Canis lupus familiaris: one gene and its partner. The protein of the gene in region 1 interacts with the protein of each later gene in a biochemical or structural test. Links are inferred from orthologs where the notes say so. Each region holds a gene or a part of one and is shown in the gene's direction. Other genes may lie near its edges.

Region 1 (3,931 bases):
AAAATAGGCTATGCAATTCTATCTCTAAATATATTTAGCCAACATTCATTCAGTGCTAACAATGCTGTCCTAGGTTTTTCTAAAAACAAAACAAAACAAAACAAAAAACAAAAAAACACAAATACTTTCTGCATTCTTTAACGCCCCAGAACCCATAATGAAGACCCCAGGTCAACTGGTGAGTGTTCCCACCAGATGAGGGGGAGGAGTTACTTCCCCTTTTCTCACCTTCTGGATGCATACATGTAGCCCCAAACTTAAGAAAAAACATGGAGTTTTGCTTCAAACAATCAGGAACTTGGAAGACTGGATCAAGGTTCAAATCCTGATCCTACTACTGACTACCTGATTTCCTCTGTGGAAACGGGACACAGCCTTACCAAATTCAAACGGCCGAGAGGACGTTATGTATCATCTAGAACTAATCCTGACTTCAACAGTGTCCTTCACACCCCTTCTAAGTCAAATCACGGAAAGACCAAAAGACAGAGATTGAAGAAGGCAAAGCCTGTGTCTTGATCTGCCTTTAGTTCTAGAGTTTAGCATCGGAGCATAGGACCACATTGTATTGATGGACTCCGACCAGGCTCCGCAGGTGGATTTAAGGTGGGGGCCGTACGCGGCAGGTGGTACCCGAGCACTCTCCTTCACCCGGGGGTAAAACGTTACGAGGTTAATATTCCGCGGCGGCGGAAGTAGATACAGGTTGCAGATCTCACACGGGCGGCGATCAAGCATTCCGGACGTGAAGGGTTTCGTTCGTCTGTCCCACCACGCAGCCGACTGCGGTGTCACTGTGGGTACCGGTCGCTCGGCGAGTAAGGAGACCCCGCGGGCGGTCCCTCGGCTCGCGGCTCTTCATCTCCTACCGCAGCCAGCGGACTCGGATCGCAGACTGCACAGCAGCGTGGCCTTCCGGAAACTCCCGGTCCGAGCCGGGGCGGCGCCTGGGGCGCGTGAGCGGTTAGAACTTGCAGTTTTGGGGGCGGCCTCCGAGGGCGGGGTCGAGGGCCGGGCCTCCCGCGACGCGGCGGTGGAAGGTTCCCAGCGGCGCTTCCGGTCGCAGGCGCGCTCAGGGGGCGGGGCGCCGTCGGCCACGCGCGCAAGGCCACATGGGAAACGGGGCGGTGCGGGCGGTGCGAGCGGTGCGCGCGCAGCTGGCCGGCAGTGGCGGCGGCGATGGAGGAGGGTGGACGGGATAAGGCTCCGCTGCAGCCTCAGCAACCCCCAGCGACCGCCCCGGGCAGTGCGGACGAGAAGCCGAGCGGCAAGGAACGGCGGGATGCAAGCGACAAGGACAAAGAACAGGAGCTGGTGAGGCACGGCCCCGGGACCCGGCGGAGGAGGCCGCGGGGCTGAGTCACCGCGGGTCCGCAGGCCTTGGGCCCGACTCTCAACGGCCCCGCAGCGTCCGGGAGAGGGCGGATGGAGCGATCCTCGGGGCTCCTCGCACTCCCTGCCCCTCATCCTCCACTCTGCGCATTCGCCTCTGCCGACCCCACCAGCCCTCACCACTGACCCGTGAGGTGGGCCCGGGCCGGACATTGTCACCCCTGTTTTTTAGTATGGCATTGAAGCAGCCTGGCCTAGATGCCAGGTTGCCTTCCCACCTGCCTTCCCGCCAGGGTGCCATTTCTGCGCTCTTTCCTTGTCCACCTGATCCCTCCTAAGGAGGCAGGTTACCTCTACCTGCCCCGGGGTGAATGGGAGGAGGATGTGTTTGGGATTCCTTCTCTTGACGAACTTCTTCCCCCAACCCTCAGTCTGAGGAGGACAAACAACTGCAGGATGAACTGGAGATGCTTGTGGAACGGCTAGGGGTGAGTCATGATGTGGACTTGAGTGGGTACATATTTGGATCTTTCCTGCCTGTTTGATTTATTACATTTTGGGGCAACAATTCCTATATGAGGTATAAGGAAAGACGGATTGTTTAGGGTTGTGATGATGATGTGAGAGAAAAGAATGACAAAGGATAGTTGAAAGACTTTGTAGCTTTTTTCTTGAACTGTTTACTGGGATTTTTTTTTTTTTTTTTTTTTGGTACCAGGCAGGGAGCGGGGAGTTGGGGAATCACAGATGAATAAGACACAATTACTTTCTTAAGGGAGTTGTTAGTTAAACACCTCTGTGTTATGACTTGAGAAATGGGACTCGTTTGTGTCTGAGCTCTAACATCTCCTGATCAGGAGAAGGACACATCCCTGTACCGACCAGCCCTGGAGGAACTGCGGAGGCAAATTCGATCTTCTACAACTTCCATGACTTCAGTACCCAAGCCTCTCAAATTTTTGCGTCCACACTATGGCAAACTGAAGGAAATCTATGAGAACATGGCCCCCGGGGAGAATAAGGTAAACTTGTTTCAGAAGCTGATGGAAGCCTAGCTTAGTAATACTTTTTCATCTAGCCCAGGGGTCTCCTGGTGAATCATAGGAAGCCTAACAGACCTGAGATCTGAGCTGGTTGAACTGAGCTGATCATAGTCAAAATACTGGCACAAGAGCTGACGGGAGGGTGACCTTCTCAGAATACACCTTTTTGTCATTTATGGTGGATCTTAGAATTTTTTTTCATGATTTTTTTAAAGTAATATGTGTCCAGTGCAGGGCTCGAATTCATGACCCCAAGATCAAGAGTTGCATGCTGGGCCAGCCAGGCACCCCTCATGATCTGTTTTTAACTTATGTTTAGCTTTGATTTTTTTATTTCTATCATATCCCATGTTAGTTCACTTGTTTTATTTCTAAAATAAATTCCTAGTTCAATTATTTCTCTGTCTACTAGTATAGCTATAATCCAGGAAATCTTTTGTTCCTCAGTGGTCTCCTAAACTGGCTGCCTTGTTTTTGCTTGTGACTTATACAGGTTGTCTTTCACAGAGCAGCCACGGTGATCTTTTTAGATTGTGAAAATCTTTTCTGCTTAAAACCTTTTAATAATTTATTATTGCAACTAGAACAAAATTCAGTCTCCCATCTTTTTTGTTTTCTCCTTGTTATCATTCTTCAGCCGTATTGGTTTCAAAGGGAGATAGCAACACCAACCTTAGGGTTATCTTGAGGCTTAGATTAGATAAAGCATGTAAATTTCTAATATAGAGATTGGTGGATAGTTACAACTTAATTTGGGAGATAGTGATGGTAGTCATAACTCTATAGTCTCCCACTCTCCTTCCCCTGGATTTGACTTTAAAGCACTGGTTTCTTTACAGCGTTTTGCTGCTGACATCATCTCTGTTTTGGCCATGACCATGAGTGGGGAACGTGAGTGCCTCAAGTATCGACTGGTCGGCTCCCAGGAGGAATTGGCATCATGGGGTCATGAGTATGTCAGGTAAGACCTTTCCTTCTTGAGAATCTAAAAGGAATTCTGAGACCTAATTCTGAGTTCTGTCTTGGGATACTATCTGTCTTAGAGAACCAGGGTGTTGCATTTCCCAAATATTGAATTCCTTGGGCCACAGGAGTGAAGCTGTATCCCTCCTAATGGTCATGGGCCTATCCACAGGCATCTCGCAGGGGAAGTGGCCAAGGAGTGGCAGGAGCTAGATGATGCGGAAAAATCACAACGGGAACCACTGTTGACCTTGGTGAAGGAGATTGTCCCCTACAACATGGCCCACAATGCAGAGCATGAGGCCTGTGACCTGCTCATGGAAATTGAGCAGGTGGATATGCTGGAGAAGGACATCGATGAGAATGCATATGCAAAGGTCTGCCTCTATCTTACCAGGTGAGTGAGCACGGTAGGGGTGGGTGGAGGGCCTAGCCTCCCCAGCATTTCTCTGTCAGTTGTACCACCTCTGTTCTCTTGGAATGAGGCTGCAGTTGATTTGTGGGTGTCTGTGAGCTTGTTGAGGACAGAGACTTCGTGTCTCTTTAGTGGTCCAGCATCTAGCACAATGCCTGGTATATGGTAGCCATGCGGT
Region 2 (10,325 bases), on another chromosome or scaffold:
TTCTTTTTTTTATAAAAATGTTTCAATAAACAATTATGAACATTCTTGAAACAAAAAAGTTTCAGCAAATAAATGGAAGATATAAGAAAAGACAGGTTGGAAATTTTAGAACTGAAAAATCACCATATCCTAAAATAAAATTTAAAAAAAATTAGTGGATGGGCTCAACTGAAGAATAGAGGGTTACAGAAAAATCAGTGAACCTGAATACAGATAATAGAAATGATCCAATCTGAACAATAAAGAAAATAGTTAAAAAAAAAAAAAAAAAAACAGTTCTGGGGACCTGTGGGCTATACCAAAAGATCTAAGATTTGTGCCAGTAGAAAGAAGGTGGACTTGAAAAAGTACTTAAATAATTTTTGAAAAACTTCCCAAACTTGGCAAAAGACATAAACCAACATAGTAAAGAAGCTAAGTGAACCTCAAACAGAATAAACTTAAATACATCTCCACCAAGACGTATCATAGTCAAACTTCCGAAAAAGAAAAAAAATCCTGAAAGGTGCAAAAAAGAAACAACTTATAAAGAGTAGGAAAGAACAATTCAAATGAAATTTCTCTTCTGAAACTATGAAGGCCAAAAAGAAGTAGCACATTTTTCAAGTGCCAAAAGAACTATCAATCCAGATTCTATATCCAAAGAAAACATTCTTTAGTAATGAAGGGGAAGTCAAGACATTCTCAAATGAAGGAAGTCTCAAGGCATTTGTCGCCAGCAGACCTATCCTGATAGAATGGCTAAAAGAAGTTCTCTAAATAACAAGTGAATAATAAAGGGACATTAGGAAGAAAGAACCATGGAAAGAGTGAAGACATGGGTAAATACGGATTAATCACCAAGGGTTAGGAGTGGTAAGAGGAGGAATAAAGGTGGGCATAAATGGGTAGCACAAGGTATCCTTGTAGTGATGGAAGAGTTCTGTATCTTGACTGTAGTGGTTATATGAATCTATATGTGATAGCACATGACATACATGCACACACATTGTACCAATGTCAACTTTTTGACCATACTAAGGCTATGAAAAACATAATCATTAGGAAAAAACTCAGTGAAGGATGCACATGATCTCTCTCTTTGCAACCTCCTGTAAATCCATAATTATTTTTAAACATTAATATAAACTATATATACAAATGTATATACATCTAAAGCATAGAAAAGACTTGCAAGGATAGGCATAAAAATTATGTAGTAAAGATATATCTGTATTATTTGAATTTTTTTAAAAAAAGAATGCCTTCATGAATTCTTACATTAAAAAGAATGCAAAATTATTGTAAAATATCCAAACACAGAAAAACATAAATAAGATGAAAATCACTTGCTCTATGATGCTATCAAGAGATAATTTCAATACACTCATTTAACAACTGAGTGTATCCCATGGCACCATGAACTGTTAACACTTTGGTGTATATTTCAGAACTTTCCTGTGCATCAAGAGCCATACACAGATTATAGTCATTCATGGATATGATTATTATACACATAATATATATTATATAATAAGCTCTCATTACTTGATGTTCTATTCATTAATATTCATCCATTCAGCAAATATTTGATTACCAGCTTTAGCCAATATCATGTTAGACTCCAAGAATATAATGGTGAATTAATCAGACAGGGGCTGGTTCTTTACAAAGTTTACAGTACAGTGAGAGACTGTCATTAAAAAAAAATCTGAAATACACAGTTATAGATTGTATCAAGTTTAAACAAATGTAAACAGTGTTTTGAAATGCCCAACTGTGAAAGGAAAGGTATCTTGATGGCAAGATACCATGGCATGTTTATCATTGATGGAAATAAACCAGTAGAGAGAAAGATTAAAAATACAAGTGCTAGAAAAGATATTAGATTTAAAGAAGGCTGAGAAGGAAGGAGCCAGAGCACAAGTATAAGGGTTGGCTTCAGGTAGAAGGAAATTGCCAAATAAAAACAGAAGCAAAAGAAGCAAAGACAGGTGCAGATATAACTTAGTTCATAGATTCAGAGATCTTAAGTTGAGGCAATTCCTCTGTGAGATCTTCTATATTCCTTTTTTTGTTTGTTTTTCCAGGGAGTGAGGGGCAGAGGGAGAAGAAAAGAACTTCAAGTAGGCTCCCTGCTGAGCCCAGAATCTGACACGGGGCTTAATCACATGACCCTCAGATCATGACCTGAGCCAAAATCAAGTCAGATGCTTAAATGAGTGAGCCACCCAGACACCCTGAGACTTATTTTCTTATCAAAAATATAAGGCGATGTCATTTGCCAAGAACAAGCACGTAAACTGGAAGATCTGAGGTTTAAAAAGAGTTGTGGTTTTAAGTTGTCATTTGGGAAAGCAAGCTAAATAGAGAAAGACAGTAAACTTGCCAGGCTGAATTAAGAGGCTGTGGAGTCTGCCCTATGGGACAGATTCTAATCATTTCAGCACACTGACTGCAGCCAGGGAAAAGGCAAGGGAACAGGCATTAGGAGAAACAGTAGCATTAACTTGAAAGAAAGAAGGGAAGGAAGGAAGAAAGGAAGCAAGAGGGAGGTAGGGAGGGAGGAAGAAAGGATTGTTTTTTGCTTGGGAGGAAACAAAATGCCCTAGAGACAAGGGGAAGGAGGTAAACAGGTCAGGTGAACGTGGCAGGATTTCTGGCTTGGGTGCAGGAATGTCCTTTAGCCTTCTAATCCAAACATGATCACAGTGATGTCAGCAGTTTATCATCTGATTTTATGAAATTGGTTCCATGTTTTAGTCTCTTAGACCTAACAACCTATCAAAACCCTAGGGAGGAATTCCAGGCATCTTTAGTTGCTGCAAAGAATTATGAGTAAGGCACAAGTATATTACTTTCCACACATTAAAAAGGAGGATCTAGTGAGCAATAGAAATTTAATTATTCTCTTCCTAATGGCACTTGTGGGTTGCTCTGAGCACTTTTTTTAAAGTCCACTTTGTATTTATTTCTAGTTACCAGAAGTCCTTTATTCCTAACATAATTTTTTATTTCATGAATATATAGCTAACTAGAAAAGGACATGGAAGAACTGAGATACGGGCAAATCATCTGTTAACTGGACTATTTGTCCAAAATACTCTGCTACCGGGGATCCCTGGGTGGCTCAGTGGTTTAGTGTCTGCCTTCAGCTCAGGACATGATCCTGGAGTCCTGGGATCGAGTCCCACATCGGGCTCCCTGCATGGAGCCTGCTTCTCCCTCTGCCTGTGTCTCTGCCTCTCTCTCTCTCTCTCTCTCTCTCTGTGTGTGTCTCTCATGAATAAATAATAAAATAAAATCTTTAAAAAAAATACTCTGCTACCATTATTTTCTAAGAAATACCACTCACTGTTCAACACTTGCAATTTTAAAATTATCTACACTTGAGTAACATCAAACTTATCAACCTTTTGTACAATGGCTATTTTATCATTAAAAAGAAGAATCTCTTTATGCATCCTTTTGCTTAGAATTAAAATCTAAAATGTCTTAGTTGACATTTATGACTAACAAAAACAAGCTTTTCTAGTAACAGGAAAAAATATACAGTGGCCAAGCAGCTGGTTAGCACATGAATAAAGAACAGACTGAGTTGAAAGAAAATAATTCATTCTGGAGTTCAGTCCCTTGTGTTTCGACCATCTTTTTTTGGCTGGACTGCTATTGTGTGATTTTTGTACAAAAATTTTTAACTTGGGGTTTTCCTTGCCTTTTTTTTTTTTTTTTTTTTTTTTGAGAGAGAGAGAGTGAGTGTGTGTGTGGCATATGGGAGCTGGGGTGGAGGGGCAGACGGAGAGGGAGAGTTTTAAGCAGGCTCCACAGCCAGCACTAGTGGAGGGGGTCTCTATCTCATCACCCTGAGATCATGACCTGAGCAGAAACCAAGAGTGGGATGCTTAATCAACTGAGCCCCCCAGGCACCCCACTTCCTTTTTTTTTTTTTTAAGTAAGGAGGGTATACTTTTATTTCACTGAAAATGTTTCATTTTTTAAAAAAGCAGCTTTTCATACACTACTAATGCAATATGCAATAGAAATTACCAAAAGAAAAGAGGTAAGAACATACAATAGCGTTTGTCTTGTCTAAAAAGTTGGGAAGACACGAAACTTGGCTTTTTGCTTTCCTTCCATCGTGGCCAAAACGGGAACGTGAATTATTTACATCACTGTGAAGTAGAAGTAAAAATATATGTAATTCAAAGACTGGTGCATAGCTCAGACCAATATCATGTCAGCATTTTCCCTTCCACATCAAAATCTAAGTTTTATTTGGCGCCATATGCAACAATCTAGCGGCAATATTTTGTTTTGTTTTGTTTTGTTTTTTGCCTGACAGCAAGCGATGCCCGTTGAGAGCTTGTTGTATGAATCAGATAGGGACTGCTCTGAATTTCCACTAAAGTCTACAATTCTTTTGTCTGGGTTTGTAACTGGCTTTCCTCGCATTCAGAGGGAAGGTGGAGCGGAGGTGGGGACGGGCAAGGGGAGGTAAAATTCGATGCCCTACTTTAGTGACCTCGATGGCAGCTCTCGTACTGAGATCTGCTTCTTCGGTTCTCGGAGTGACTTAGGCTCACCCCTTCCCTTTTCTGCGGGTCCTCAGTTTACCGTTGCATAAAACGGGTGGAAGTCCAAGCTCCTAAAATTACTCAAGTTGGAGGCCCCTGGTGCCGGGGCGGGGAGCGGAGGGGGCTCAAGTCTTCAGCCTTAAAGGGCCCCTTTCAGCCCTCATCCGGAACACGGCAACGCCACACGAGTCCTAGGCTCGAGTCCTACGAAGGTCTCCGCACACCCCGGCAGCCGGGGCCACGCCACCGACCCACCGCCGCGGGCAGCGCAACAATACGGGAGACGCCCCCCGCGGAGCCCCGCCCAGCTCCGCGCCCACGAGCGGGCGCATGCGCAGGCGGGCGAGGGCTGGCCCGTGTCCAAGGACCCCCCTGTCCGCCCCGCGGTCACGGGCCACAGTCTCGGAAAGGCCCGGCTCCCGCGCCGGGTCAGGAGATCCCTGGCAGCCGCTGTCCAGGATTACCCTGCCGGAGACGGACGCGGGAGGCCGCCGCGCAGTCTCCAGCGCGTTTCCGTTTCAAACCTGAACTTCCGGCTCGTTAGCCGGTTCCGGTCCCCGTTCCTCACTTCCGGCCGCCGTCGGTTCCGCTGTGGCCGGTTCCTGCGTCCACTGCTGCGGGCCCCGCGGCTCTCCAGGTGAGGGGACGCGGGGCGCCCCGGGGCGCTGCCCCCGGGGAGGCGGTCGGGGCCGGGGGGCCGCCGCGCGGCGCTGCAGTTCGCGCGACGCGGCCTCCACGGCGGCCCGCGGGCCGGGCCGGGCCGGGCCGGACGCTGCCTGCGGGCGCCCCGGGCCGCGTCTGCCCCGGTGTGCGGCCCAGGCCGTGGCCCCTGCAGCTCCTCGCCGGGCCTCCGCCCTCCCGCCCGGCCTCCGCGCTGCTGCCGGGGGCTCCCCAAGCCCCAGTGGGTTTTGCGTCCCCAGACTCCATTCCTGCGCCCTTCGGGGTTTGTCCACGGCTCCGCCTCCCCCTCCCCCTCCCCCTCCCCCTCCAGGTGAAGGCCGGGGCCTCGGGTTCTTGGGGTGCCTGCGACGCCTGCCTGCCTGCCTGCCTGCCTGCCTGCCTGCCTGCCTGCCGCCCTAGGGCGGTCGCCTCCCGCGGCTGCCGCCGTGCCGGAGGCTGGTTGAGGGCTTCACCTCCGCTCAGCGCCCCAGGCGGTCGCTTTTGCTGTTAGTTTCAGGTTTCCGCAACTTGCGGCCTTGGACAAAATGGTTTTCTTTTTCAGTTTTCTAACGTGGATACGTGAAGACAATAGTCGTCAGTTCAGGAATGCAAAGATCAAGTGAGATAAGCTGTTTGAGCAGGTGGCCGTGTGGTCATCGCCACCGTCCGCCTTGCGCTTTACAGTTCACAAAGTGCTGTCACAGGTGTTGCTTCGTCCATTAACGCTGTTCTCGTGAACTCAGGATCGCCTCATTTTGAGGCAGGAGTTTTGGAATTGACCGGACGGGTCAGTTCAGTATGTTAGGCAGAACTAACCCAAACGGCTGTCCTAGAGGTTGCGGTCCTTACTTGGGTAGTAGTTTTAATTGCCGTCAACCCTACCCCAAATCATTTTTCGGTGTATTGATCTGATAGGACCTAGAATGACACAAAGCATTAGAATGGCGTGAGAGAGGAGGTTAAATGGGAAAACATAAAATGACTCCTGCATTTGCACTGTGTGTTCCCTTGGGAGTGATCTGAATGTTGGAGAAATGAGGTTCAAAAGCAGTTTTAAGGACTCTGCGTTTAAGATTTCGAGGGTGTTTGTTTTGTTACGCTTGGTCGTTCAGAGCAATTGCCAACTTGGGATTCCCACCAGGGTGTAGGTGTACAGTGTATAACATTTGTATACTACTCTACTAAGCGTGCAGAGCCCAATGCCATCTGGTAGGTTTTCTTTTTTAGCTGAGAAAATTGAAGAGTTTAGAGCACTGGCTCTCAGACTTTTCGTATGCCTCAGAGACGGGGTGAGGGGGAGGCTGGGACAGGGATTGCTAAAACACAAATTGCTGGGTTCTTTTCTCTCCAGCCCCCGTTATGTTTATAGCAAGTTACCAAGTACAGTCATGCTGTTGCTTGGTCTTAGACAACGCTTCGAAAATACTGGTCTAGAGGTGAAATGACTTGCCCAGGCTCACCTGGAGCTCAGAGGATGTTACTCCAAACTCTCTGCTCTCGCCCCACCCCCAGCACAATGTAAACTCTGTTAGTTGGTGGTGGTCCCATTCTTAGCTCTTGTAAATTTTCATTTTTATTGCCACCTTCACAGAGGAATAATGTTTAAATCATATTTTAGTTTGGCTCGAAAGGTCTTTTTGGCACTTTATTGAGAATCATAACATTTCCTAGAGCAAGTTATCTCAACAGAACGCATTGCCCTAAATTACTACTTTAAATTTCAGTAGAGCAGGTACAAACATAAGAGCGTAAGTATGATTGATTTTCTAGTGCTTCCTCTAGTGGGCATGTTGAAGACCTCTTAAGTTCCTACGTTATTTTTGTATGTAATGATTCACAGTTTGTCTTCTTGCATTGGTTATTATCCAGGGAGAATGCAATCAAATGTTTCCTTAAACAAGTGATAGCATCTGGAAATGGAGATTAGGAAATTCAATTCTCTGACCTGGGGGGAAACGGACTTAGGAAAATTGATAAAAAGTATTAAGAGAGAAAAGCCCTACATGCCATTGTTGATGAGACTAACAACCACTATTTGATCTTGTGCACTTTTATCTGTGCCTGTGGGTTTTTATTTACTGATCTTTGATGCTTTGCCTCCTGTAGGTCCCAATTCAAGAGAGGCAGTTGTGATGTAGAGGAAGAAACATGAGATTTAGTCAGAAGACCTGTTCTGTTACCGCCTGTGTGCCCATTAGCAGATTACTTAGCCTCTCTGAAGTCCCATTTTTTTAATTGCAAAAGAGGGATGATTCTTATCAACCCTGTTAAATGACATTGCATAAAAACTTTCCAATTTATTAAATACTAAACAAATAATGGCGATGCTTTTTATTTAGCACAGTGCCTGGAACACATCAGCTCAGATTTTTTAAGATTTTATTTATTTATTAATGAGAGAGACACACAGAGAGAGAGAGAGAGAGAGAGAGAGAGAGACAGGCAGACACACGGGCAGAGGGAAAAGCAGGCTCTGTGCAGGAAGCCCGATGTGGGACTCAATCCCAGGACTCCAGGATCACACACTGAAGGCGGCGCCAAACCGCTGAGCCACCGGGGCTGACTGTCAGCTCAGATTTTTAAGAAAATTTATTTAGATAATGCTTATTTTTGTAGTGCTTACTATGTGCCAGGTCTATATGACTTACAAATATTAGCTAATTTAAGCCTCATAAGAACCCCAAAGTAGAAATATTCTCATCCTTAGTTTACAGAGAAGGAAACTTAGGCACTAGGAGTCTGGTAACTTCCCAAAGTAAAATAGCCAATAAGTGAGAGAGCTGGGATCTAAACCCAGGTACTATGGCTCTAGGGTTTGCACTTTTAACAACTCACTGTGCCACTTCTCAAGTGTTACTATGAATGGTCCATGATGGAGGAACTTACCTGTAACATAAACCTGGTCAAACAGAGAGGGAGGGATAGGTAGCTGATCATTGCAGAGTATATTAGGAAGTAGTAACTTTAAGCCAAAAATTGGGAGGGTAGGGGAATTTTAACTTTGAGGCCTAATAACTTTTGGTGTTCTGGTAACACAGATTCTGTAAGGAGAAAATCTTGTTTCTCCACCATCCAGTTGTAAAGTAGGACTCAAACTGCATTGCTTCTAAAACTTAGTTACAAATTTAGCTGCAAACTGCATTGCTTCTAAAACTTAGTTACAAATTTAGCTGCGTCTTTGATGTATCTGTTTTAACTTATTTACTGGTATATCCCTTTCTTTTTAGGTATCTTTTTCTGAGTGAAAGCTGCTTGATCGTATGTTTCAAGGATGGCTCTTCCTATCATTGTAAAATGGGGTGGACAGGAATATTCAGTGACCACACTTTCAGAAGATGATACCGTGCTAGATCTCAAACAGTTTCTTAAGACTCTTACAGGAGTGCTACCAGAACGCCAAAAGTTACTTGGACTCAAAGTTAAAGGTAATTCTCTCCTCACTTTAAACTTTTTGCATCGAAACACTTATGAATTTTCATATGTTATTTTTTTCTCTTTAATAAGTCTTTCTCCTTTAGATTTCTTTGTTAGGGATATCCCTAAAATTGCTGTATGATAAAAATAATATTAAAAATTTCTTGAAAATACCACCGCTATTAAGATTACTTTTGATTCCTCTGACAGTTGGTGTTTGCTTGTTAAACCTGTGGTGCAGAAGTCTCAGGTAAAACAGTGTAGTTTCTGACATCTGTGTTCTAGCACAGCTTTTTCATTACAGCTGGGTTCTTATACTCTCCCTAAGTCATCTTTTCTGCTTCAAAAGTAATGTTTTAAAATGATGATTTAAAAATTATAAGCAGTGTTTATATCCAGTTCGAAAGGAACTTTCCTGGTGTTTGTGTTTGGCATATCATTGAAGAGTGAATTTTGGGTAGCAAAAAATCTCGAGTTTTGTCTTAGGTGCTCAGTGTTCAAGACTTTCTGGAAAACATCTTCATCTTGAACAACAAACTAAAATAATTTATTTTCTTTAGCTAGTTGAATAAAGATGTTCCTCTGAGATGGAGTTGGGGAAAAAAACAAATTTATTAGTTGCTACTTGTTAGTGTGTTAGACATTGCTAATTCAGCAGTGAAAGTTTGTTAATTTAAGAAAAAAACTGCTGTGGAATCTGTACCAAACCTTTTAATATTAGGGTTTTGTATAATGGGATAGTGAAATCAGCACCTGAACTTTAGTGAGAAAACAGTCATTTGCTTGTATTGTAGGCAAACCTGCAGAAAATGATGTTAAGCTTGGAGCTCTCAAACTGAAACCAAATACTAAAATCATGATGATGGGAACTCGTGAGGAGAGCTTGGTAAATGTTTACTTTTGTTACCATTTGTCCCTTTGAAGGTATTATGATTTATATTACACTGTTGTATCATGGTTTTAATTGTGGTAAAATTGTCAGTTTTGCAGTCCGTGAAAAATAAAAGCTTCACAGTGTATGTGGTATTAACTCAGCAGAAAACAAATACTAGGGAACTTTTAGTATATAGTTAGCATAAGCATAGTAGTCGTGCAAATGGTCAAACTTAACACGGTAAATCTACTCAGTGAATGTATGTTATGAATTATAAAATGTGGAAATTTCCTCACAGTGTGTGCTTGAAAGATTCTTGATCTTGGACTGTATCTTTTATTTGCTTTTTATGTTATGCATGTATTTGTTATGTTAAAGATAATCTGGTAAAACAGAACTCTTTTTCATCTTAATAGGAAGATGTCTTAGGTCCACCTCCTGACAATGATGATGTTGTCAACGACTTTGATATTGAAGATGAAGTAGTTGAAGTAGAAAATAGGTAAGTACTTTATACTATCAAAGGAAATGGGTTGTAGTGTGTGAAAAAAGTGAATGTTTCACCTTATTTTATTTTTCCATTAGGGAAGAAAACCTACTGAAAATTTCTCGTAGAGTGAAAGAGTATAAAGTGGAAATTTTGAATCCTCCCAGGGAAGGGAAAAAGCTTTTGGTACTAGATGTTGATTATACATTATTTGGTAAGTCAGCTAAAATTGCACTTTACCTTCGGTTACCCATAACAACTCTTTTTTTCCTTTTATTTTTTTCTTCCAATATGAAATATTTAAAAGTTTTTCTTCTTCTTCTTTTTTTTTAAAGTT

Evidence for each region. The genes of interacting proteins can lie anywhere in the genome.
Region 2: the proteins of PSMD2 (region 1) and UBLCP1 form a complex in vitro, tested with the Homo sapiens proteins (3 studies listed by BioGRID). The link is inferred for Canis lupus familiaris from reciprocal best matches to the Homo sapiens genes PSMD2 and UBLCP1.

What each region holds. Positions count from the first base shown.
Region 1 is NC_049255.1:17,348,988-17,352,918, forward strand, and holds the start of PSMD2 (26S proteasome non-ATPase regulatory subunit 2), read left to right. Parts: upstream 1-1,131; 5' UTR 1,132-1,179; coding exon 1,180-1,314; intron 1,315-1,763; coding exon 1,764-1,820; intron 1,821-2,189; coding exon 2,190-2,354; intron 2,355-3,214; coding exon 3,215-3,336; intron 3,337-3,510; coding exon 3,511-3,735; intron 3,736-3,931. UniProt on the Homo sapiens protein: Component of the 26S proteasome, a multiprotein complex involved in the ATP-dependent degradation of ubiquitinated proteins.
Region 2 is NC_049225.1:52,118,523-52,128,847, reverse strand, and holds the start of UBLCP1 (ubiquitin-like domain-containing CTD phosphatase 1), read left to right. Parts: upstream 1-4,915; 5' UTR 4,916-5,077; coding exon of another isoform or gene 5,078-5,440; intron 5,441-5,686; coding exon of another isoform or gene 5,687-5,779; intron 5,780-5,895; coding exon of another isoform or gene 5,896-5,933; intron 5,934-8,440; 5' UTR 8,441-8,484; coding exon 8,485-8,638; intron 8,639-9,421; coding exon 9,422-9,513; intron 9,514-9,917; coding exon 9,918-10,003; intron 10,004-10,086; coding exon 10,087-10,202; intron 10,203-10,325. Other genes in the region: uncharacterized protein LOC119876217, read right to left, coding at 4,052-4,151, 5,078-5,440, 5,687-5,779, 5,896-5,933. UniProt on the Homo sapiens protein: Dephosphorylates 26S nuclear proteasomes, thereby decreasing their proteolytic activity. Recruited to the 19S regulatory particle of the 26S proteasome through its interaction with 19S component PSMD2/RPN1.